5 linked regions of the Daphnia pulex genome follow. The protein of the gene in region 1 purifies or fractionates together with the protein of each later gene. This does not show direct contact. Links are inferred from orthologs where the notes say so. Each region holds a gene or a part of one and is shown on either strand. Other genes may lie near its edges. The genes, in order: G2/mitotic-specific cyclin-B-like, protein patched-like, cell division cycle protein 27 homolog, anaphase-promoting complex subunit 4-like and membrane-associated tyrosine- and threonine-specific cdc2-inhibitory kinase-like.

The links.
Region 2: the proteins of G2/mitotic-specific cyclin-B-like (region 1) and protein patched-like purify together in Homo sapiens (affinity purification with western blotting; 3 studies listed by BioGRID and IntAct, with this or other methods). This does not show direct contact. The link is inferred for Daphnia pulex from reciprocal best matches to the Homo sapiens genes CCNB1 and PTCH1.
Region 3: the proteins of G2/mitotic-specific cyclin-B-like (region 1) and cell division cycle protein 27 homolog purify together in Homo sapiens (affinity purification with western blotting; 6 studies listed by BioGRID, with this or other methods). This does not show direct contact. The link is inferred for Daphnia pulex from reciprocal best matches to the Homo sapiens genes CCNB1 and CDC27.
Region 4: the proteins of G2/mitotic-specific cyclin-B-like (region 1) and anaphase-promoting complex subunit 4-like purify together in Homo sapiens (affinity purification with western blotting; 3 studies listed by BioGRID). This does not show direct contact. The link is inferred for Daphnia pulex from reciprocal best matches to the Homo sapiens genes CCNB1 and ANAPC4.
Region 5: the proteins of G2/mitotic-specific cyclin-B-like (region 1) and membrane-associated tyrosine- and threonine-specific cdc2-inhibitory kinase-like purify together in Homo sapiens (affinity purification with mass spectrometry; 5 studies listed by BioGRID and IntAct, with this or other methods). This does not show direct contact. The link is inferred for Daphnia pulex from reciprocal best matches to the Homo sapiens genes CCNB1 and PKMYT1.

Annotation. Positions count from the first base shown.
Region 1 is NC_060017.1:7,280,062-7,283,983, reverse strand, and holds G2/mitotic-specific cyclin-B-like, read left to right. Parts: upstream 1-1,265; 5' UTR 1,266-1,412; intron 1,413-1,528; 5' UTR 1,529-1,659; coding exon 1,660-1,695; intron 1,696-1,758; coding exon 1,759-1,979; intron 1,980-2,033; coding exon 2,034-2,202; intron 2,203-2,259; coding exon 2,260-2,421; intron 2,422-2,478; coding exon 2,479-2,733; intron 2,734-2,801; coding exon 2,802-2,920; intron 2,921-2,982; coding exon 2,983-3,127; intron 3,128-3,185; coding exon 3,186-3,305; 3' UTR 3,306-3,422; downstream 3,423-3,922. UniProt on the Homo sapiens protein: Essential for the control of the cell cycle at the G2/M (mitosis) transition.
Region 2 is NC_060018.1:5,081,383-5,085,324, reverse strand, and holds the start of protein patched-like, read right to left. Parts: upstream 2,806-3,942; 5' UTR 2,207-2,805; coding exon 2,024-2,206; intron 1,510-2,023; coding exon 1,317-1,509; intron 1-1,316.
Region 3 is NC_060018.1:4,689,438-4,693,636, reverse strand, and holds the start of cell division cycle protein 27 homolog, read left to right. Parts: upstream 1-1,394; 5' UTR 1,395-1,593; coding exon 1,594-1,617; intron 1,618-1,751; coding exon 1,752-1,827; intron 1,828-1,888; coding exon 1,889-2,036; intron 2,037-2,093; coding exon 2,094-2,534; intron 2,535-2,624; coding exon 2,625-2,804; intron 2,805-2,860; coding exon 2,861-2,987; intron 2,988-3,061; coding exon 3,062-3,204; intron 3,205-3,272; coding exon 3,273-3,719; intron 3,720-3,786; coding exon 3,787-4,140; intron 4,141-4,199. Other genes in the region: MPN domain-containing protein-like, read right to left, coding at 36-259, 332-478, 558-707, 777-929. UniProt on the Homo sapiens protein: Component of the anaphase promoting complex/cyclosome (APC/C), a cell cycle-regulated E3 ubiquitin ligase that controls progression through mitosis and the G1 phase of the cell cycle.
Region 4 is NC_060021.1:8,254,071-8,258,097, forward strand, and holds the start of anaphase-promoting complex subunit 4-like, read left to right. Parts: upstream 1-1,225; 5' UTR 1,226-1,478; coding exon 1,479-1,593; intron 1,594-1,671; coding exon 1,672-3,819; intron 3,820-3,841; exon of another isoform or gene 3,842-3,902; coding exon 3,903-3,967; 3' UTR 3,968-4,003; coding exon of another isoform or gene 4,004-4,027. Other genes in the region: condensin-2 complex subunit H2-like, read right to left, coding at 4,004-4,027. UniProt on the Homo sapiens protein: Component of the anaphase promoting complex/cyclosome (APC/C), a cell cycle-regulated E3 ubiquitin ligase that controls progression through mitosis and the G1 phase of the cell cycle.
Region 5 is NC_060028.1:2,255,461-2,259,689, reverse strand, and holds the start of membrane-associated tyrosine- and threonine-specific cdc2-inhibitory kinase-like, read left to right. Parts: upstream 1-1,420; 5' UTR 1,421-1,437; intron 1,438-1,529; exon of another isoform or gene 1,530-1,954; 5' UTR 1,955-2,154; exon of another isoform or gene 2,155-2,238; intron 2,239-2,317; 5' UTR 2,318-2,395; intron 2,396-2,473; 5' UTR 2,474-2,537; coding exon 2,538-2,609; intron 2,610-2,676; coding exon 2,677-3,189; intron 3,190-3,260; coding exon 3,261-3,383; intron 3,384-3,447; coding exon 3,448-3,643; intron 3,644-3,706; coding exon 3,707-4,045; intron 4,046-4,108; coding exon 4,109-4,222; intron 4,223-4,229. UniProt on the Homo sapiens protein: Acts as a negative regulator of entry into mitosis (G2 to M transition) by phosphorylation of the CDK1 kinase specifically when CDK1 is complexed to cyclins. Mediates phosphorylation of CDK1 predominantly on 'Thr-14'. Also involved in Golgi fragmentation.

The sequences.
Region 1 (3,922 bases):
AGCTTAGTTCAAGCCTCGTTAGCAGTTTTTACAGATCATTCCACACACTGCCCCGCATATTACCAATTTGTTCAATCTCAATATTTCACTTCTTTCTTCTGATGCGATTCGGTGCTAGGCTATTTAAACAGGACAAATAATATTGAAAAATCAAAACATTAAATAAGAACAAGAAACGAGAAAGAAATCGGAATGCAGGTAGTAAAGATTCCAGTAAGTTTATTCACACTGCGGATGGAACGAATAATTTACGCCTTTTTTTTTTTTTAAAATTTCTTTCAGATCAATGCACCAGAAATTCAAGACAATAATCTCATTTGAGAGAAATTTGGAATTCATAAAATTCGCTCGCGGGACGAAGAATATACAGAGACACAATCCATCAGATATAGACGAAAAAGAAAGACAACCTATACTCGCAGTTCGCTGATTGCTTCAGTAGCTGATGATACCTCTTGTTCAGAACGTGGAAATCATTAAAATCCCATTGCGATATTCGGCCCACAGCGTGTAAAATGCTGTACGTTGCGTTCGTATTCGACAGACATGACGGGGTCTATATTGTTGATGTGATTGATAACTTGCGCTAGGCTCTTGCGAACCGGCCAATATTTTTTTAAAAAATAATTTAAATTTCTGTCGATATAAGAAGGTCACTCAACGGTTCAAATCTGTCTGAAATGTTTATTTTTATTTTATTTTCGCCCAAATAAAAAAAAAAAATCTTTCTTTGTTCCGCAATCAAAGCTTCCAGTTCCAGAGAACAATGAACTCGTAAAATAGAAACAGGCTCTTCGATAGAATTGTGAGTCCACTTTGTTCTGTCATGATATCTAATATGCAATATTACTGTGCCCTGGTGAGCAGCCAGAGCAACTGAGCAACTTTTTACTAACAAATTAGCTGTTACATAATAAATTAATGGAAAATAATCTGACAATTAGCATATTAAGGCTGATTGAATGTTGCTTGCAAAATCGAAATATTAGCTACCAGTCTGCCATTAGTCCAGCACAAACATTCCATAATTCACAAATAGAAAAATTATTTTCAACAGTCTGAAAATAATGCGTGCCATTGAGAAGTAACTTTTAAAAATGTATTCAGCACAAAGTTTCAAGTACGCAAGTTAAAAAATATCACATCGTTCACATTTTTAATTAAATAATGAAAAGAAAACCTATTTTCCAAAAGCGTAAACATATATCACATTTTCTCAAATGTCAACGCTGTACTACGGCAACACAGCATTTTTGAATTGAATTTTAAAATCCGTATTGTTTTCAAATGCCGCCATTGTGTCACATCGTAGTTCTCAACCCCCCGACAAATTCCTTTCAGTCCTCCCTGTCAAGTTTACCTGCTTCCAAGTTTTTTCAAGTAGAATCATTCGCAGTTGTATCCTCTGAAAGGTAAGGTCTCTTGCTTAAGTATTTAAACCGTCGTAATGAAGATTACTTTCCATCTCCATAACTTTGTCACGTAGTGTTGTAACTTATAACGTAACGTCTGTGTATTTTGGGCTTAGATTTATAGTTACATCATTCGATTTCATCTCGTGGCGTACTCCTTGTAAGACTGCTGATTGCCCGATGAGTTTTACGAATCGACGTGGATTTTATCAAATTATCAGTCAAGCCATTGAAATAGTGTAACATCATGTCTGTGACACAAGTATTCCCCTCTGCTATATCGGTAACTATCAGTGTTGTGAATTATCTGCTAAAAATTCTACATGTATGTTTAATGGGATGGCAGGTCCATGATGAAGGTGAAAATATTGCTATGCCAAGAGGCAAGAGCAGTCTGGCACCAAGTGGGAATTTTAATGTATCAGCAATTAAGCAGAGGGCTGTTCTGGGAGACATTTGCAGCAACAGATCGGCTCTTACAAATGTCGTCTCTGAAGTTGATTTTAAGAAACCTCAACATGTGCCTTCCAAATCTGTTGCAAAGAAGCAAATTCAAGAAATAGAGAAGTAAATTATTGACTGTCTATGTGTGTCCTAAATCTTAAATCAAATTTTCTCTAGTTTACCTCTTCCATCTGAAAAAGAAGTTGTCAAGCCTGCTGTAGAGGCTCAGAGACGATCATCATTTTCTTCTCAGAATTTGGAATTTGACGATATTGACACTGAAACTAATCCCCAGCTAGTTGCTGTCTATGTCAAGGACATCTACAAGTATCTGAATGAGTTGGAGGTACTTTTTTCTTTTACATTTATTTCTAAGTGTTTTACTAATATAATGTTAATGTAGGAGAAGACTGTCATCAAGTCCAATTACATGGAAATTGGTTACAAGATCAAGCCACACATGCGTACAATTTTGATTGACTGGCTGGTGGAAGTGCATATTCGTTTCAAACTGCTCCAGGAAACATTGTACTTGACTGTGGCTACCATGGATCGTTTTCTTCAAGTGAGTTGCATTGTTGTTACATTATTTCCAATTAGTGTATTTTATTTTTCTCTCAAGGTTGAGCCTTCTGTTGTGCGACATGATCTACAGCTTGTTGGCCTTACTTCCATGTTCATCGCTTCGAAATTCGAGGAGATGTACACTCCAGAGATTGACGATTTCGTTTTCATGTCGGACAAGGCCTACACCAAGAAGGAAGTTCTGCGCATGGAGTTGCGTATCCTGAAGGCATTGGACTTCAATCTTGGTCGCCCTCTTCCTCTTCATTTCTTGCGACGATACACTAAAGCTGCTACACACGTCTATGACTGGGTAAGTCGCATCGTATTTTTCGCCTCGTCGATTCACCCGATTACAATTTTGCTCTGTGAAACGATTAGGTGGACGTTCTCCATCACACTTTGTCGAAGTATTTGATGGAATTGTCGCTGCCAGAATACGAGTTCTGCCATGTTATGCCATCACAACTTGCTGCAGCCTCGTTGTGCTTGTCTCTCAAGTAAGTTTTTGTGCATATGTGTACCGCATTGCATGTTTCATGTATTGTTGTTTTACATTCAGAATTCTTGACGAACATGAAAACCCTATTGATGTTTTATGGAACGACACATTAATTTATTATTCTGGATACACTTACGAAGCTCTGGAGCCGATTGTTGAGAAATTTTGTTCTTTGATTATCAAATCAGAAACAAGCAAGCATCAGGTGAGTTGTTTATAATGTGCTGTGATGTATATTTGTTAATTGTTAAAATTTTTCGTAGGCTATTCGGAGAAAGTATCGTGTCTCGAAATTTTACCAAATCAGCGCCCTTCCACATCTCAGGTCTCCAGCTACTCATGCCTTCTTGGCCAAGATGGCGCTGAAAAACTCGAATATTTAACCCATGTTTCTTATCCTAATGATGGTTGCTAATTTTAAACGGCACTTTTTTTTCCTTTTCAAGTCATTGACCGTGACTTTGTGTTTTATTTCAAAATTATCTCGAACGTTCATGTATTTTTAATTCTCTTGCATTTGCGAAATTCTTCTCGGCTTCCACATGATATCCTAACAATTCGTATGGGTTTAGAGGCTTGTATACCGTAATACATAGATAAAAGAAATATATATTTTGCGTAACCAAAAAATGTCTACGTTTGTTTCTTTCTCTGAATTCTATCTGGGCTTTTTTTCAGTAAAAACGTGAACACTTGTAGGCTTATCCCCTGGATGTCTAGACTAGCGGAAAGAAAAGTATAGGTATGTTCAAGTTTGATGTAGAGCGCAGGACAACATCGAGTTTTCTTACGAATTTGGGGCGTTTCGTGGAAAAAGAACATGGATTTTGAACATGCAATCTCAGTTCTTTGGCATTGTAAATTATCACCGTAAATGAGTGCGTTGACTTTTGCGCTAGTGGCTAATGCGGATATGCTAAATATAATTGCATACAACACTACATACACATGAAAGTGAAAGAAAGGCTACGATATCCTACAGCACTATTTGCGATTTTAG
Region 2 (3,942 bases), on another chromosome or scaffold:
CCTGATCGCTGGATTTCCAAAATTCAAATGGGGAGACGCAATCGTCGGAAGTGATGGAATAATAGAGAGAAAAAAAGAAGATGGAGGTCAGAAAAGAATAAGGAAAAGAATAGGAGAGAGAGAAAAAATCTTTTCCTATTGTAACGAGTTTGACGGGTCAATTGAGAAAAGGGACGACCGATAGCCTCTCTTCTCGCTCTACAAGAGTAACACACACGCACAAATGAAAAGAAGAAGAAAAGTTTTCAGGTACGCTGGCTGGATACAATGGACCAAAGAAGAAAGGGGGGAAGGAAAAGAAAGAGAAGAAGAAGTAAAAAAAAAAAAAAAAACATTCTTTTCTAGCTCGTAAATTCTCTCTCCACCCCGCTGTCTTTTCTTCCTCTTGTGCCCAACTTTGGGTGTGCTGTACCTTCGTTCCCTTCCGTTGGGTGGTCCAAACAAGAATTTTATAACTTCTCTCTCTCCAATGTTGTTTCTTTTTTTCTTCCTCGGGTGACAATTTGGCCGTACGTCATCATCAGCCAAAAATAAGAGAAGAAGAAAAAACCTGCGTGATCAGGTATGTTCTTCACAAAAGGCCGCCAAAAGAACCTAGCAGCTGTTTTTTAATTTTTACTTTGGAAAATAACTTTTCTTCTTCAAGGGGTGGAAGGGGGGTGTCTGATTTCGGAGAGGGGGGAAACGACAGGACCATATGGAACCCCCCGAACAACAACTACATTTTCCTTTTTTTTTTTTTTTGACAGAAGGATGAAAAATTTCCCATGTGAACATGTGTGCAGGTTTGGCTTGGCAAATAACACGATTCTCTTGTGAGAAGGGGGGGGGGGAAATACCGCGACCTGCAGAGAGTTCATTAAAGATACGGTCCAGGGGAATCAAATCCAGCTGGAGGCTGCCGCCCTAATGAAGACATGTTCTCTCCCCTGGCCATCTAGAATGGATAGAGACCTCGTCTTGCTGTTGATTGTTGGGTAGGTGCTAAACATTCCAGAGGAGAAATAACAAAAAGAAGAAGAAGAAGAGGGGTTCTATAGTAAATAGCGGACCTGGTAATGGCCACCAATCGTGAAAGAGAATCATCCGATGCGGGCGGATTTGGGGCAAAGGGGAACATAAAACACCCTCTCTCTCTCTCAAACAAGGGCCGTCTATTTTCGGGTGTTCCAGCCAAGTTCTTTTTCCGGTCTCTCTCTCTGTGTATGTGTTGGCAATGCCGGAGAAAAAGAAGAAGCGGATGGAGAGCCCAACAACGCATCAATGGATGAGGAGGGGGAGATCCTATTTTGAAGGGATCAAAAGTGTTGTATTACCTTCGACCCAGAGTTTCTCGACGTCCGTTTGAATGCTGGCGGATTTGAGGCCGACGCAGAAGGTGGACAGGACGAGGAGTCCAACGAAAAGGACTTTGCCCGCGTGCCGTTGGACGAATCGGCCCAGGTGGAAGAGATGCCACTGAAGTTTCGTCCTTAACCACAGCGCCGCTTTGTTGCCTGATGCTTTACCCTATTGGAAAAATAAATAAATAAAAGAAAATAGAGACGTCAGAAACGAACAAAAATAAAAATCTATGAGATTCCGGAATGTTTTTATATCCTTCCAGCGCAGCCCCCTTGAATCAGTTGGGCAGCAGCGAATGGTTGTGGAAAGGAGGAAAAACAAGTTAAAAAAGGAGAGGTAAAGGAAAGAGAGTGGCTGATGGGTTTTTGTGTTGGGGCCTACGCCCTTGAGCGATGGCTTGGCCTCAACTGTTTCTCTTTCTCTCTCTTGGTTGGTAGTACACAGTCGGTTGTTGCAGCAGGGGCCCCCGTTGTTGTTGATGTCTTCATTCCGTCGGGCGATGCCAGAGCCCCCTATATACCGACGGTCTATACCATCCACCCGAAAATATACACCTCACCTTGGCATAGCCACCACAGACTTTTTCTCTGTGTTTTTTTCGTACTTACACGCAGCATAAATTATCTTATGCAATTGTTTATTCACAAGAAGAAGAAGAAGATGTTTTATAAAGACGCACCTTTTTGATTTGATGAAGGGCGAGCCGGGCATCTGTCCAGCTCGTCCTGGTCAACAAGTCGGAATCGACGCTGCTGCTGGTGCAGAGTGCCGCGTAAGCGTCTTGAGGTGTCAGTGAAGAAGTTTTCGAGCATCCGCCATTCGATTTCTCCATTGCGGCGTGCGAGTGCATCGTTATGGCCATGACACTACTACAGCGCCGTTCGTGATGATTCGTTTTCGTCTGCAAGCAATTCCTCGTCTCCCGACACGTCGGGCGATTTCAACGGAAACACACTCGGCGGCTGCGGCACTGAACAACAACAACAACAACAACAACTTTGACGATGATGATCACCAGCAGCGGTCGCAACCGACCAGCAGCCTAACATGGCCTCGTTTCATGACGGGCTAAACAACACACAACCATGGGGCGAAATTTCGTGACACACCGAACAAATTTCTAGGGGGAGGAAAATAGAAAAGAAATGGCTGATTCTAACGGCACAACAACACACTGTGGAAGAAATTGTTAGGGGACGAACACCATCCGTCGTCGTCGTCTTTTTGGTTAATCCGTGTTGGTGATAGAAACCAGAAAATGTCGTCGTTCTTTCGAGTTTCTTTTGGTTGGGGACTTGAAAATTCTTGTTTCGTTCACACACTAAATTTCTTCAAATTCACACACACTTTGGAAGAAAAAAATATAGATATTTCACACTCGGTTTGTGTGTGTGTGTTTCAGAGAAAGAGACACACGACTCTTCTTGTAGCTTCCTGCTTGTCGACTGAAAACTCGAGGAGAGATGGCCGCTAGCTTAGTACACGCACGCCCCGCTAGACCTCCTCCCCCCCCCCCCCGCTACCACCACCCAGTGTCCCTCCTTCTTTTTCGAGTTTGGCTGGGGATACCCGCAGGCTAAGGAAATTTTTCGGGTCGCCCGCCCACCGCGTCAACCACCACGTGGCGGATCGACAAACTACAGCGCGCCATTTTCTTCTTTTTCAAGTATATTTTTTTTAAAAAGGAAAATTTCGTTTTGAAATGTTGGAAAAGATGCGATTAATAGTTATAAACGGAGGAATGACTTTTGGTCTAATCGGCTCAGCAATCGTTCAATGTGTAATTGAATATTCGGGACAGAGTTCTCCAAGTGGGGAAATTTGAAACCCAAGACTTTGAAAAATGGCAGCAGCAGCGGATCCGACTCGGATTCCATTCATTGGACCTTCGTTTTTCTATTTCTTTTTTAAAAAGTTCCATCCACCATCTAAAAGAGACAAAACATTTTCCCAGTGAAAGGGGGCGCGAGTGTGTATAGCGTACACACTGTAGTTCGGACTTGTGGGGGTGGTCTTAGCCGTTGCCTGGGCAACACGCAGAACACCAAACCCACGGGCAATACACAAAAGCCCTGGACCCCACACGACGGCCAAGAACCCCAAAAACCTTTTTTTCTTCTTCTTCTTCTTGTATATATACACACACACATGCACAACTTCCTCTTTTTAATTCCAACAACTTTGCTCACGTAGACGAAAAAATTTCTACCACACACACACACACACATCATTTCTTTAGAGAAAAAGTCAAATGTTGGTGGAGATTTATTTCGATCACGACGAACCAACGAACCAACCGTTTTCCAATGTTTTTCGTCTGCACAGCCCAACTTGTGTGCTGCACTGCATCCCTGAGAAAAGAAGTCATTATTTTAATGACTCTATTCTCTTGTCAGTTTCTCGTGCCCGCGTTCTTTTACGGTTATAGTCACACAGGTAAAAAAGAAAGAAAGAAAGAAGAGTTTTTTATTTTAAAAAAGAAAAGATGGTGTGGAAGAAAAGAAAGAAAAAAGAGAGTGGCGCTGTTAGTGTAATCTGGTGGCGGATGTGCCTGGGCAATTACGGCCCAGGCCAAAACTTTAATTGCCAACGAACTTT
Region 3 (4,199 bases), on another chromosome or scaffold:
ACTCCAAACTTAAAATAATTGTTTTGTCTACTTACTCGATACTTGTCCTGTTTCCTAGCGTTTCGTGCTTTATAATTTGTCGATCACCGACAGTTTGTTTCATACTCATTTGAATTACTGGTTCAGGTTCCAGCAGTACAGGCTCATTAGTGGACAAATTACAATCATCAGGAGTCGAGTTGTCGCTAACCTGTTCTAAACGTCGTTTACGCATCCATTGGTTTTTATATACATCCAAAGGCCTGCCACAATATCGTACCTACATCATTTAAAAATCTGAACTAAATTTACTGAACTTGATAACGAGAATTTAAACATATTTTATGCTTACTGATGACCAACCACAACCATATTTCTGTTCGGGATTAACAATTTTTTTGCAGCGCAAGGCCCACGCCGAGGGTGAACTAAAGACTTCTTGAACTTCAGCAGAAAAAATTTTTCCATCTGCCAGTAAGTCCCCATTAAATTTTTGTCCCTAAATAAATTCACATAGGGAATAGAAGTTTTAAACTTGGAAGATAAGAAATCTAAAAGAAATATCGTATAATGTTTACCATGTACTCTAGTGACATAGCACCTTCTTTTGGTTGAAGGATGTTATCTTCAAGTAACATTTGCAATGTGACTCCTCTACCAGTAAATCCACCAGCAGTTTTGGACTTTTTCTCATTCAGTTCTTCATCTTCATTGCCATCCATGTTATCCTGTAATTTTTGTCATAAAATTGTTATTCATTGGAATTTTAATAGCACAAAGTATTATTAATTAATTACCTCTCCTTCCATTTCAGGATCTAATGTTGCATTGTGGGTTTCAGACATGTTACATTGCTCATTTGTGTGTTCAACACTAACTGATGTGATCTTTTGTTGTTCTTGAGGATCTGCTTGATCACTAATACTTGAGTCTTCTGATGCTTCAATCATGCTTATGCCCTGTATTAAGAACACAGCTTTAATATTGCTAAACAAAAGGTTTACAACTAAAAAGAATTAAATTTGAAAAATATTTGTTTATTTGAAGTAGATTAATTGAAAAAAGGACTATTAGAAGAACTAAAAAACACTTAACTAAAAATTCATATTTTAGAATTACGCGCCTTTTTTATTAATTGTTATTAAAAAAACGTCTGATTTACCTATTCCAGTACCATAATTACAATTACAACCACGTTATTTCGAACAATCTAGGCCAAATGACAGTAGTTAATACATTGCAACACTTAAATTTACCTGAATAAATAACTTGTTGACAATTTCGAAAGCAAATTGTCCAAGTGCGGTTTAATAATAAGATTGATAAAACTGACCGTTGAAATGTCAAAAAATGTCAAAACTGAAGCATCACGATTTGAATCAATTCATCGAATATCGTAGATTGATCGATACTTAGTGAAGGCGATACAGCGATACTCGAAACGGTTTGGTTAAAAAGAGGAAGGGGCAAAAAAAACTTTGTGTTACATTAAAACGTAAGCTCCGACGGCAATTTGGTGGAATTATTTTGACTTAAATTGATTTCCGTCCATGGGAATTCAAACTTGATTGTATATCTTCATAGATTTCATATGTTAACTCATTACTAGTCAACATGTTGGTACAAGAACCTGTCCAGGTTAGTAACATGTTAATCAATGATGTTTAGTGATCTAAAAATTGCATATATTTAGGGTGTACAATGAAGGGGGTTTCTTTGTATGCCAGTTTTTGGTTCATTTTCAATAATGGTTAAATTTTTCTAAAATGCAGGCGGCTATCTGGCATTGTCTTAATCACTACAACTATTGGAATGCTACTTTTCTTGCTGAGAAACTTCAGGATGAAAGTATTATGTGTATACTTAATTTGTAAAGGTTATTTTTCCATAAATCTTATGTTTCTTTCAGTTAATAATGAGGAAAGCTTGTATCTTCTGGCCACTTGCTACTATCGGTCAGGAAAAGCGAATCAAGCAAGAAGTTTACTGCAATCAAAAGGAACTCAGTCGCCACAATGTCAATATCTGTTAGCCAAATGTTGTTTAGATCTGAATAAGTATGTGGTTATTCTCATTGAAAATAATTAAAATCTAAAGAATGTGTTTTTTTTTAGGCTTGCTGAAGCAGAAGGAACATTGATGGGTGGAAATATTTTCAAACAAAAATCTTTGGATGATGTTGTGACTGAATTTGGAGATGCTGCTGCTTTTGCCCTAGTTTTGTTGGGTCAAGTTTACATGCAGACAGAACGAAAGTTCAAAGCTATAGAAGTACTCAACAGAGCTCTTAAGCTTAATCCATTCCTGTGGGCTGCTTTTGAGCTTCTTTGTCGGCTTGGTGAAAAACCAGATGCAGAAGATGTCTTTCAGTTAGAGGGATTGGATAATTTCTCTCATTGTCATGGAACAAACCCAATAGCTTCATTGATCACTGCTCAGATCAATCAATCACATGATGCAACCACTAAAGTACATCCTCATGAACCAATGTCTGTTGACCAAATCTCCACTCCTATACTTCAAGTCCCTGCAGCTGATGTTATAGTAAACACAAGGTAAACATGGCATATTATTTAAAACACAAATTATTTTGAGATTTAATCACCATTTCTTTACACAACTTGTGTATTTTACTATATTTCTAGCACTCCCCTACCATGTGTGCCTCTTATTCATCACAATATACCTAATTTGACACCAGATGATCAAATGATTCCCTCTATACCGTTGACGAGTACCATGGCTCCAACACGTTCCAGAGCACGGTCGTTCCGGCTTCGATCAGTCTTTAAAGCCGGTCAAGCGCTGTCTCCCATGTCCCCCAAGTATAATTTAAGTTTCCATTCACTTGATGACACTTTATTTAATTTACGTAATTTAGTTTTGGCATCATACCTTTGGATATGTCTTCAGCAAGCGATGCTTCTCAAAGTTCGATGGTCTATTTGTGTCCCTCGCTAGCCCCACCGGTCTCTGAAACAAAAGAAGCAAAGATAATGCCTAAACGGGTATGATTTTTTTCCTTTTAAACAAATAATATAGAGTGTTTCATAATCTCTCCAAATGCTTATGCTGTTTTTAGTTGGGTGGTCGTCGTGAAGCAGCTAGCACTGCTCCAAGCGCGCCTTCACGTATGGGAGTTTTCTGCCAATCCGGAAATACAGCTACACCGACATTGTCTTCACCCCCAGCCGCTAACGTGAGGAGAAGTACACGACTTTACAGGTTTCAGTAACATTTGTGTATATATAAATTCGTATATTATTAATTAACGTATTCTATTTTGATCACAGTTCGAACAATTCCGTTAAGGAGAATAACAAAAGTAGCTCTCGTTTTGTTGTGCCCAAGTTGCCACTGAAGCGTAGCAAATCCAAACTTACTAAAGGTGATACCCCGGAAAGCGGATTAGCACCTATTAGCGATTTTCCAGAGCTAGTAGGAAAAATGGATAGAGAGGATGAGAAACAAGCTACCCTACCTACTCATTTAACTTCGGTGCAGACTCCACCATCAAATTTGATTCAAGAGGCAGTCCAAATGCAAAAGCAGTCAGCTGAAGGACTTATGTCTCTTCTTCGGATTGTAGGCAAAGCATTTTCACACCTGACTTCATATGAGTCTCGTCAAGCGATTGACACAATAGAATGGCTCTCCGCACGCCACAAAAGATCAAGCTGGGTCCTCTCTCTTATGGCTAAAGCTTACTTTGAACTGGCAGACTACAAGCAAGCTACTAGGTTAGTTTTACTTTTATCTTGTGTAACAGTTTGACAGGAAATTGACAGATATTTTTTAATTATTAAGGTTGTTTCAAGAAGTGCGTGAAATGGAGCCATATCGCACTGATCTGATGGAGTATTATAGTACTGCTCTCTGGCATCTGCAGCAAGAAGTGTCACTCTCGGCATTAGCACAAGACATGCTGGAACAAGACAAAATGTCAGCTGCGACTTGGTGTTGTGCCGGAAATTGCTTGGATTTGCAGAAAGATCGCGAACAAGCTCTAAAGTTTTTCCAACGAGCAATCCAAGTTGATCCTAAATTTGCTTATGCATACACTCTTTTGGGTCATCAGTATCTTGCCCTCGAAGAAACGGAGAAAGCCATGGATTGCTTTAAAAATGCTGTGAGAGTTGATCCTATTCATTATAACGGATGGTAAACCTTCTTTAACAAAGCAGCATTAATTGATTTGTTCTAACTTTTTGTTTGTGAAA
Region 4 (4,027 bases), on another chromosome or scaffold:
CATGTATACAAACGGTCATGTCAAATAACGGAAAAATCACTGCCAGACTAAAAATAGGAACTAGTAAAGACAACAAATCCGAATCGCCTAAAAAAAAGAATGTTGGAATAATATTCAATCTCTGTTGAATATAGGATGAAGCTTGCTTGTTGGCTAGGCACGGATGAACTCTCCTTTCTCCTATTATTTCGAGTCTATATCGACGGTGGTTGCTATGCATTACCCCGCCGTTCGCAGTGTCCCCCCGGAGTCACCTCAAACCGACCAGAACGTTGGTGGTCCCGCTAGACTGCTGCATTGAATACAAATAAGATCCAACTCCATAATCGTGCCTTTTTTTCCAGTCTCTAGAGTCCAACGAATAACGAGCACTGATACGCATAATCCACAATCATTGAACTGTGTGAACAGGAGAACGTCAGCAAGCAAAAGAAAGTAGTTGTGTGGAAATCGAAGTTCTTGTTGCTCCTCATCCTCTTCAGGAGCACTATATAGGCTAGGTACTGGTACAATATACATTTAGAGAAGATGATTTTTCTTATTTGGATATCGACTTTTTCTTTCTCCCATCTGACTACGTGTTTTTTTTTATTTCGTTTACAAGTTGCTACGAAAACACAATCGTCTAGACGTAAAAGCACAAATTCGCTGATAACGAATAAATAATGAATCAATGTTGTGCCACTCCGAAGGAGCAGAAGTGTTCCCCCCGCGCGTGAGAGCTTCTGCACATTGCACGAAATGGGAGACCCCGTCAACGCCCACACGTTTTCCTAAGGCTAAGTGCGGTAAAATATTAGGCAACTGCTACTGTATATAGCAGCATGACGTTTTATTATTATCAACGACCGGCGACAAGACAAGCAGAAAACAGAGCAAACTCTCATGAAGGTAAATAATCGTGTCGCAAAGGGAGTTCGTTATTTTCCGATCGATTTCTTTAGCACCCGCGAACGCACGGGAGCGATGCTTCGCTTAATCCTCGATGCCTAAGAATAGCGCTCATTTTTTACGTGGTGAGGTTATCAACTGGGTTTCTGTTTGGCCAAGAGATTATCCTATTTGCCAGAAACCCGAATTCAATTTCGCATCCATTTACGGATAGACGAGCTTATGCTTGTTGAAAAGATGCGGCGGCAAATGCCTTAAAAAAATAAATTTGGGGAGACATTCTATCACACTGTGTGGCTATTTATTCAGTTAACGAACTACAGCCATGGACGTCAAGAGCCATGCGATACAATTGGCCTCCAGTGGTGACTGAAATAAAAAGCGAATAACGTTGAACACTTGAAGGTAACACGTAATAAAAAGGTAGAATTCAAATCTGAATGTTTCCAGGCAGTTTAAAAATCGACCGCTAGATGTACTCAAGTTGCCTAGAGAAGAAACCGAAAAAAAGTTCGAAAAGTTGTAAATACATGTTCCTTAATTTCTGTCTAATCGAGATTGTCGTGTAAAAACACAATCAGCTTAAAATGGTGTCGTGTATGATGAGACAGAGTGACGAAAAACACATTCTTGGAACTGCGTCAACAGAAATCCTTTTGTGGTCTTCCAGACGAGATCTGATTGCCGTCTCAAACAGCTCTGGTGAAAACTTGCAATCCTTCTTTTTCCCATTGTGTTACTATGATAATAAAATTTGTTTTGTATGTTATTTTCTTGTAGGTGAGGTTTTTCTGAGAAGGTTGTCATGGAGCAAAGTTTGGAAGCTTTCTAAAAGAGGTGATGGTGTCAAAGTCACAGCGATCGTTTGGAGACCAGACAGTGTGATACTAGCTGTAGGATACAGTTCTGGGCATGTGGTTCTAGTTGACGTTGAATCTGGAGAAGTAGTACACACATTCAACCCATGTGAGGAACCCATCACAGCTCTTTCCTGGGAAAACTGCAGCACAAGTGTGAAAGAAGAGGCAGACAATTTTTTGCTGCCAGAACTGCTGCCTCAACCATTGAAAGTTAACTCTTCAAAGCTAGATGCTGGGTCAGCACTTGATGGCGACAAAGGATTGAAACATGAAGAATTACTGAGCATTTTGTGGATTGGACTAAAGAATGGGTTAGTTTACGGATTCGCCTTTGGACTCTTTCCTTGCTGCCTTCTAAAACTTTCAGAAATGAGTGGTGGGAGCGATTCAATCGGACCTGTACGAAGTGTTTTCCCGAATGGTGATCACAGCCAACTGTGTTTACTAGCCGATGTTCGTGCCGGATCCTCAGAAGTTTTACTCATGACTGTGGAAACCCCACTCATAACTCATTGTTTGAAAGAGTTGTACGGTCTAGGATTTCTCTATCGGCAGATAACTGGCCTCATGGACTGCCTAATCAGTGCTCAGAAAGCTCTACAAGAAGCCTGGGAGGATGCACTAGTCGACCTCGAATCGAAAATGGTTCGCTATGAAAGCAACGACGGCAAGAGTAGCTTATCTGTCGACTTGATGGAGCTCCTGATGTTTGGCCACGCCGGGATCAAGCTGGAGAAATTTCTTGTTACCGATTTGACTGACAAAGGATTGAAACGAATCGGCCAAGCCGTAGAGTTATCCTATAGCAACATGCAGAAACTGCTCATCAAACACATCGTGTGTGCCAACTACCAACTGTCGCACTATTTGACACAACTTTGCGGGCTGGCCAAACAAGAAGATCGTTTCTCATGCCTCGGCCTCCAAGTCAATTCGTGTTTAGCTGCATACCGGGCGGCCGGCTCTTTTACCGCCAAAACCGCTGAGCTTCAACAGGTGATCGATGGTTCTGTCAAGTACCTCAAGACATTCTTCCGCTGGCTTTACGTTACCATCTTGCGCCTCTCGGACGAGCCTATCCCACCCGAGCTTGCCACCAGTACCCAGCAAGATGTACGGTTTATCGCCAACTTCCTCGCCAAAGATTTTGAGACCGATGGACAAGTACGTCTGGATCGTATTGGGCAATATTTGAGGAATGAGCCGTTGACTTTTGTTGCCAGCTCTAAAACTAGACCCTGGGACATGTTGATAGAAGCTTGTCCATCTATTGCGAATCTTCAGGACTCGGACTTATTTCAACCCCGTGCTGAACGCTCTCTTGCTCAAGAGTTCGCCCATTTGGAACATCAGGTCAAAGCCAGTTTCGAAGCTATCCCTTCAGCTGTTGGACAGACTGCGTCGTTGCCGTTTATCACCGACCTGACGTTAGATTGTCCTTCGGACAGTCTGGACAAGATCAGAATCACAACACGATCCATCAACCAACCAAAAGATCGGTGTAATCTTCTTGGCTTGACAAATTCGACCACTCATTCTTCAGGATTTTACCTGTTTGAATTCGCCTCCGAGAAGGAACGTAAGAACTTGACTCGAGCAGCATTCTTCTCCTTTGGCAAGTGCGACCATCTACCTCCTGGCGAATATAAAATAGCTGATCTGCAGTTCTATAACAACGAGATTATGTCAGTTTTGCTTTCGATCGAACGCAGCACGAATAGCATCTTCGTACAACTCAGTCTATGTCTGTTACGCGAACATTTGGCTCCCGTTGTGTCACGGCGAGGACCTTTTAACTCGTCCTTCCATTCAGACGTTTTCGTTTCATCAGTTCTCAGCCAAGGCAATCTTCGATCAGTGGATGTCAATACCTTTATTGAAGCAAGCTCGTTTCGTGTCTTAAACGACTTTCAGGCTACTACCCTCGGTCTATCGTCCAGTCGAAAGGTTGCCGCTATCTTTTCTTCGTCAAAAAGGAAGGTTCGCATATTTGACATGGAAGTTGAAGAGGAAGAAGACGTCGAAGACGAGGATCAGGACATTGAGGATGTTTCAGACTTATCGCACGGTACGTAAAAGTGAAAACCTGGTTAACTTTCAAATTGTTTATTATTAACAAGGTATGTTAATGGAATGGCATTTTTATCGCAGATATATCAAAAGATGGAGGAAATCAAAAGGATATCAGCGACGTGGATATGGCCGTCTCTCCCTGATGGACTATTAGGACCAAACATCTTGCTGACAGTTCATCAGATGAAATCGTCCATGTGTTC
Region 5 (4,229 bases), on another chromosome or scaffold:
GGTCACCGGTGGCCGAGAGCTGGTTGCCTGCAATCACTTGCGCTGCATCGAATTTTTCATCGATTCACTTGTGCCCGGTTACAACTACGTCGGTTACGAATGCATTGACAACGACGCATTCCATCGAGTATTGATTCATCGAATTATATTACTAGCCTACTTTTAATTACTAAAAGTTTATTTGAACGAAGGGTGAGTGTACCTCGTGCGGAACCGACAACTTGAATTGCGCCAAATTCGGCATGGACGCCGCTCTCTATCCGATGCGTGATAGAACTTACGTGAATCTACTGTTCGACACCGACAAAGATGTCCATTACATCAGTAAGTTGATCTGAAATGGACAATAACCCTTGGACAAATGTTTAATTACTTTTGAATTCATTCTTAGAGTAGGCCTACCACTACGGCATTAAAGTCAACCTCGCTTATCCATCGTAAGCTGAAGCTTTCGTTTATGGCACAATGCGTATGTCTTTGTATGGAACGCTTGGACAGCTGATCGACGTTACCGTAGCCGAGTATAGATCTATTTCAGCTAAAGCTGCGCAATGTGCACATCCTAAAATGCTAATAATCATTTATTCCATAATTATAGCAAAAGCCACAAGTTTGTTCATGGGACAAACTCATTCTCTTTTTTCGTCGATTCTTTCAACGTGGGTAACATCCAACGCGTCGAGTTGTACTGGAAGTATGACGGCACTATTTTCAATACCTGTGGTCTGTTTTGCAACGACCACATCTACGTTAGAAGCGTCGAAATTTCTGAATTGAACAACTATCCAGAATCGTAAATCATTTACAAAAAAACACGATATCGATGTTCATTTTCAAAATTAATGTTGTTAAAAAAATATCTTTAGAAGTCGATTGGAACACACTTAAAAGTCGTGTGTCGTTGGTGCCGATTACGTCGACATGAAAGACAAGAGCTGGGCTGAATTCTACCCCACTGCCTGCGTCTAAATTTGGAGGGGGGGGGGGGCAATAAATAAAAATCACGAACGGATTCTTCGCCATGGCACTTAATGTTTTCAAGCATGATGATTTTCCCTTGACGAGAAAAAAAGTAACTTTTTTAAAGGTGCAACCTTTGTGTGTTTTCTGCGCAGTTATATAAATTAGCGATATCATAAGTAATATTGGTATCTATACTGTCCGACTTGCGTCATTTTCTTATCATCACTTGTAATATGCGTATGGCAAACCCGAACCAGTCAACACTTTTATCTTCTGTTAATTTTTATCTAGAGCTAAAATATGGAGGATTTCCCCTGAGCCATACTTGATGCTGCCCTGATTTTGATAAACACATTTACACACGTTTTTTTGAAAACACAAAAGTCTTAGTTCCACATTCGAACTGGAAATTTCTCTGATCATTTTTTTTAGATATTGCTTCAAATCTTTTCTACAGCTATACAGCGTCATTCGGTATTTATAAATTTTTCTAAAATTTCTACGATAACGACCCTTAATGCTCAATGATTTTTATATGACAAATGACAAATAACAGCTTTAAAATTATACCATTATTACGTGCAAGTGAGCACCATTTCCCTCACATCATTTGATTGAGAAGGTTAAGCTGAAAAAAAATTAATAGATTATATTAGAGCAATAAAATTTATGGGCTTCGAAAAATTTCTTGTTAATTTATTTGAGGAAAAGTGAAGAAACGCAACGTGGCAAAATCCGATTTTTTGTTTTTTTAAAGAGACGCCAAAAGTCTCACAACTACGGGCAGAAGCCTCATCTGTTTTACTAGCGCCATTTTTGATAATATTAACATTTTAACAAAATAAGTTAATCATCAAACAAGAATAGTCAGAAAGTAATGTTAATAATAATTTTGTTTATTATCAAATATTTATTTTGAAAGAATAAGAAGATAAATTCAATGTGAATTAACAAATATAATTTTGTCCGCGGCGCCATCTATGAGTCACAGTTAACACTTGCCGATGACGCTCCTTCAAAAACAACATCAGCCCGCCTGTTGCTTCTCGCTGAAAAAGTTTCTTTTCACAATATCCTTGTTTCTTGTTTTTTACTGAAAAAAGAATCACATGCTGTTATCGTGGTGAATTTTTCAGGATTCTTAATCTGCTGTTAAACTTCCAAAAAAGTCCATGGATCACGTCTTGTGAGGTAACTTTCCCCAACAACCGGTTACGTTCAGAGGCTTGTTGGTTATTGTTACCTAAGTTCGTGTGAATATTTAACCATATTCATGTTGGTGAACTATTCTTGCATTGACACCTCTTATTCTCATCTTCATTTGGTTAATGGATTTTTCTTGTTTAACCTTTAGTGAATCCTTCTTAGTGCAACAATACCAAATAAGGACAAAGTGAAGCGTCTAACCCAATGTCCAAGCAGGTGCAATTTGGTATATTGTTATTCATTATTCCTTGTTTGAGATTAGAATACTGTTGTCAGCATTAACTTATCTTATCTATATATTTAGATGAAGTTCTAAACTTGCCTCCTCCCCCAATTACATCGAAAAGCAATTTTTTATCCTCAGACAAATGGACTCGAAATTTGTAACTCCGAGGCCTGTCCCCCAGTTCAATCTCATAAATACATTTTCCACAAAAAAGGTAACATTTTTAGCTCAAGTCCAGTTTTTTCTTTGAATTTTTGTAACACTTTTTGTCAAATTTTCAGGAAAGGACACTACCTGGCCATAAAAAACGGGCACCACCAACACCTACGCCGATTATTTCGGCCTATTATAGTTGCCCTGGCCCCCAAAAAGCTCACACAATCTCGTTCAAGTCAAAATCGGATTCTGCGCTGATTAGTAGCCCACATTACAATCTGTCGAAGGAAGACACGTTCTTTCGCCAATGTTTTGAAATCGAGGCCAACATCGGCTCTGGATCTTTCGGCGACGTGTTTCGTGTTCGCAGCAAAGAAGATGGTCGAATGTACGCCGTCAAGCGATCACGAGTGCCGTTTCGCGGGACTACAGATCGTAAAGAGAAGCTGGAGGAAGTTCGAAAAATGGAGTCCCTCCCTCACCACCCCAATTGCGTTCGTTTTTATCAGGCGTGGGAGGAGAACCAATTTCTCTATATTCAGCTTGAGCTTTGTCAGTCCAGTCTGAGTGAGATTTCTGAAGAGCAGCATGAGCTACCAGAGCACCTTATCTGGGACTACATGATTGACTTGCTCTTGGTATTTGAAAAATTCCTATCTGTTAAATCATTTTGACTGGCTCAATAATAGTTTTTCTATTTTCAATTTAGGCAATTCAACATTTGCATGACAATGACTTAATTCACATGGATGTTAAACCTGAGAATATTTTATTATCAATGGAAGGTGTTTGTAAGCTCGGGGATTTTGGGCTCGTTGTTAACCTCAAAGAAGTGAGTCTAATGAAAAACTTGACGTTGTAACAATAATTTTTATTTTTCCATTTCGTTTGACCAGAATCTGTTTGACGCCACCGAGGGAGATTCAAAGTACTTGGCTCCCGAAGTCCTGGGAGGAATTTTCTCTAAAAAAGCAGACATTTTCAGCCTGGGAATTACGCTGCTCGAACTGGCCTGTGATCTTGACCTGCCGGCCAACGGCACTTTGTGGCACGAACTGAGACATGGTTCTCTTCCTCCCACCATCACCAGACGTTAGTGACAACTATTCCATTTTCTCCAACTTCTTGCAAACTAACCCTTGGTTTCGTTTCTAGCAGACTTATCCAAAGATCTGAGTGCCGTGATGGAAATGATGATGAATCCAGACGCTTCTAACCGTCCGTCAGCCTCTCAACTTCTGGAGCATCCTTTGCTGCGTTCCAGAAGGCGATGGAGGTGCCTTAAACTGGGCTGGCAAAACGCCCGCCTTTCATTCCGCGCCAATTTGGTTGAGCTATTCTTCCGATTATTCCAGCTCTTTTTGCTCATCTTCTTGCCCATACGCGCTCTGGCGCGTAAATGGCGCAAACCGGACTTTGGCTCGAAGCCGTCCACGCCTGTCACACACCGGCCACAACCCTGCAACTTCGCCAACGACTTTTCGTTCTCTGACGGTAGTACTTGAATTGCCATCAATTTTGTCAACTTCTGTCTGATTGAATCAATTTTCTTTTTAGATGAAGTGAGTGATTTATCTTCTGCAGTAATTAGTGGAAATGACAGCACTCTTGGGCGTCCTCTTAATGACAGTTCACCTTTGCCACAAAACAATAGCATCGAACATAGGGCTGGTATGTT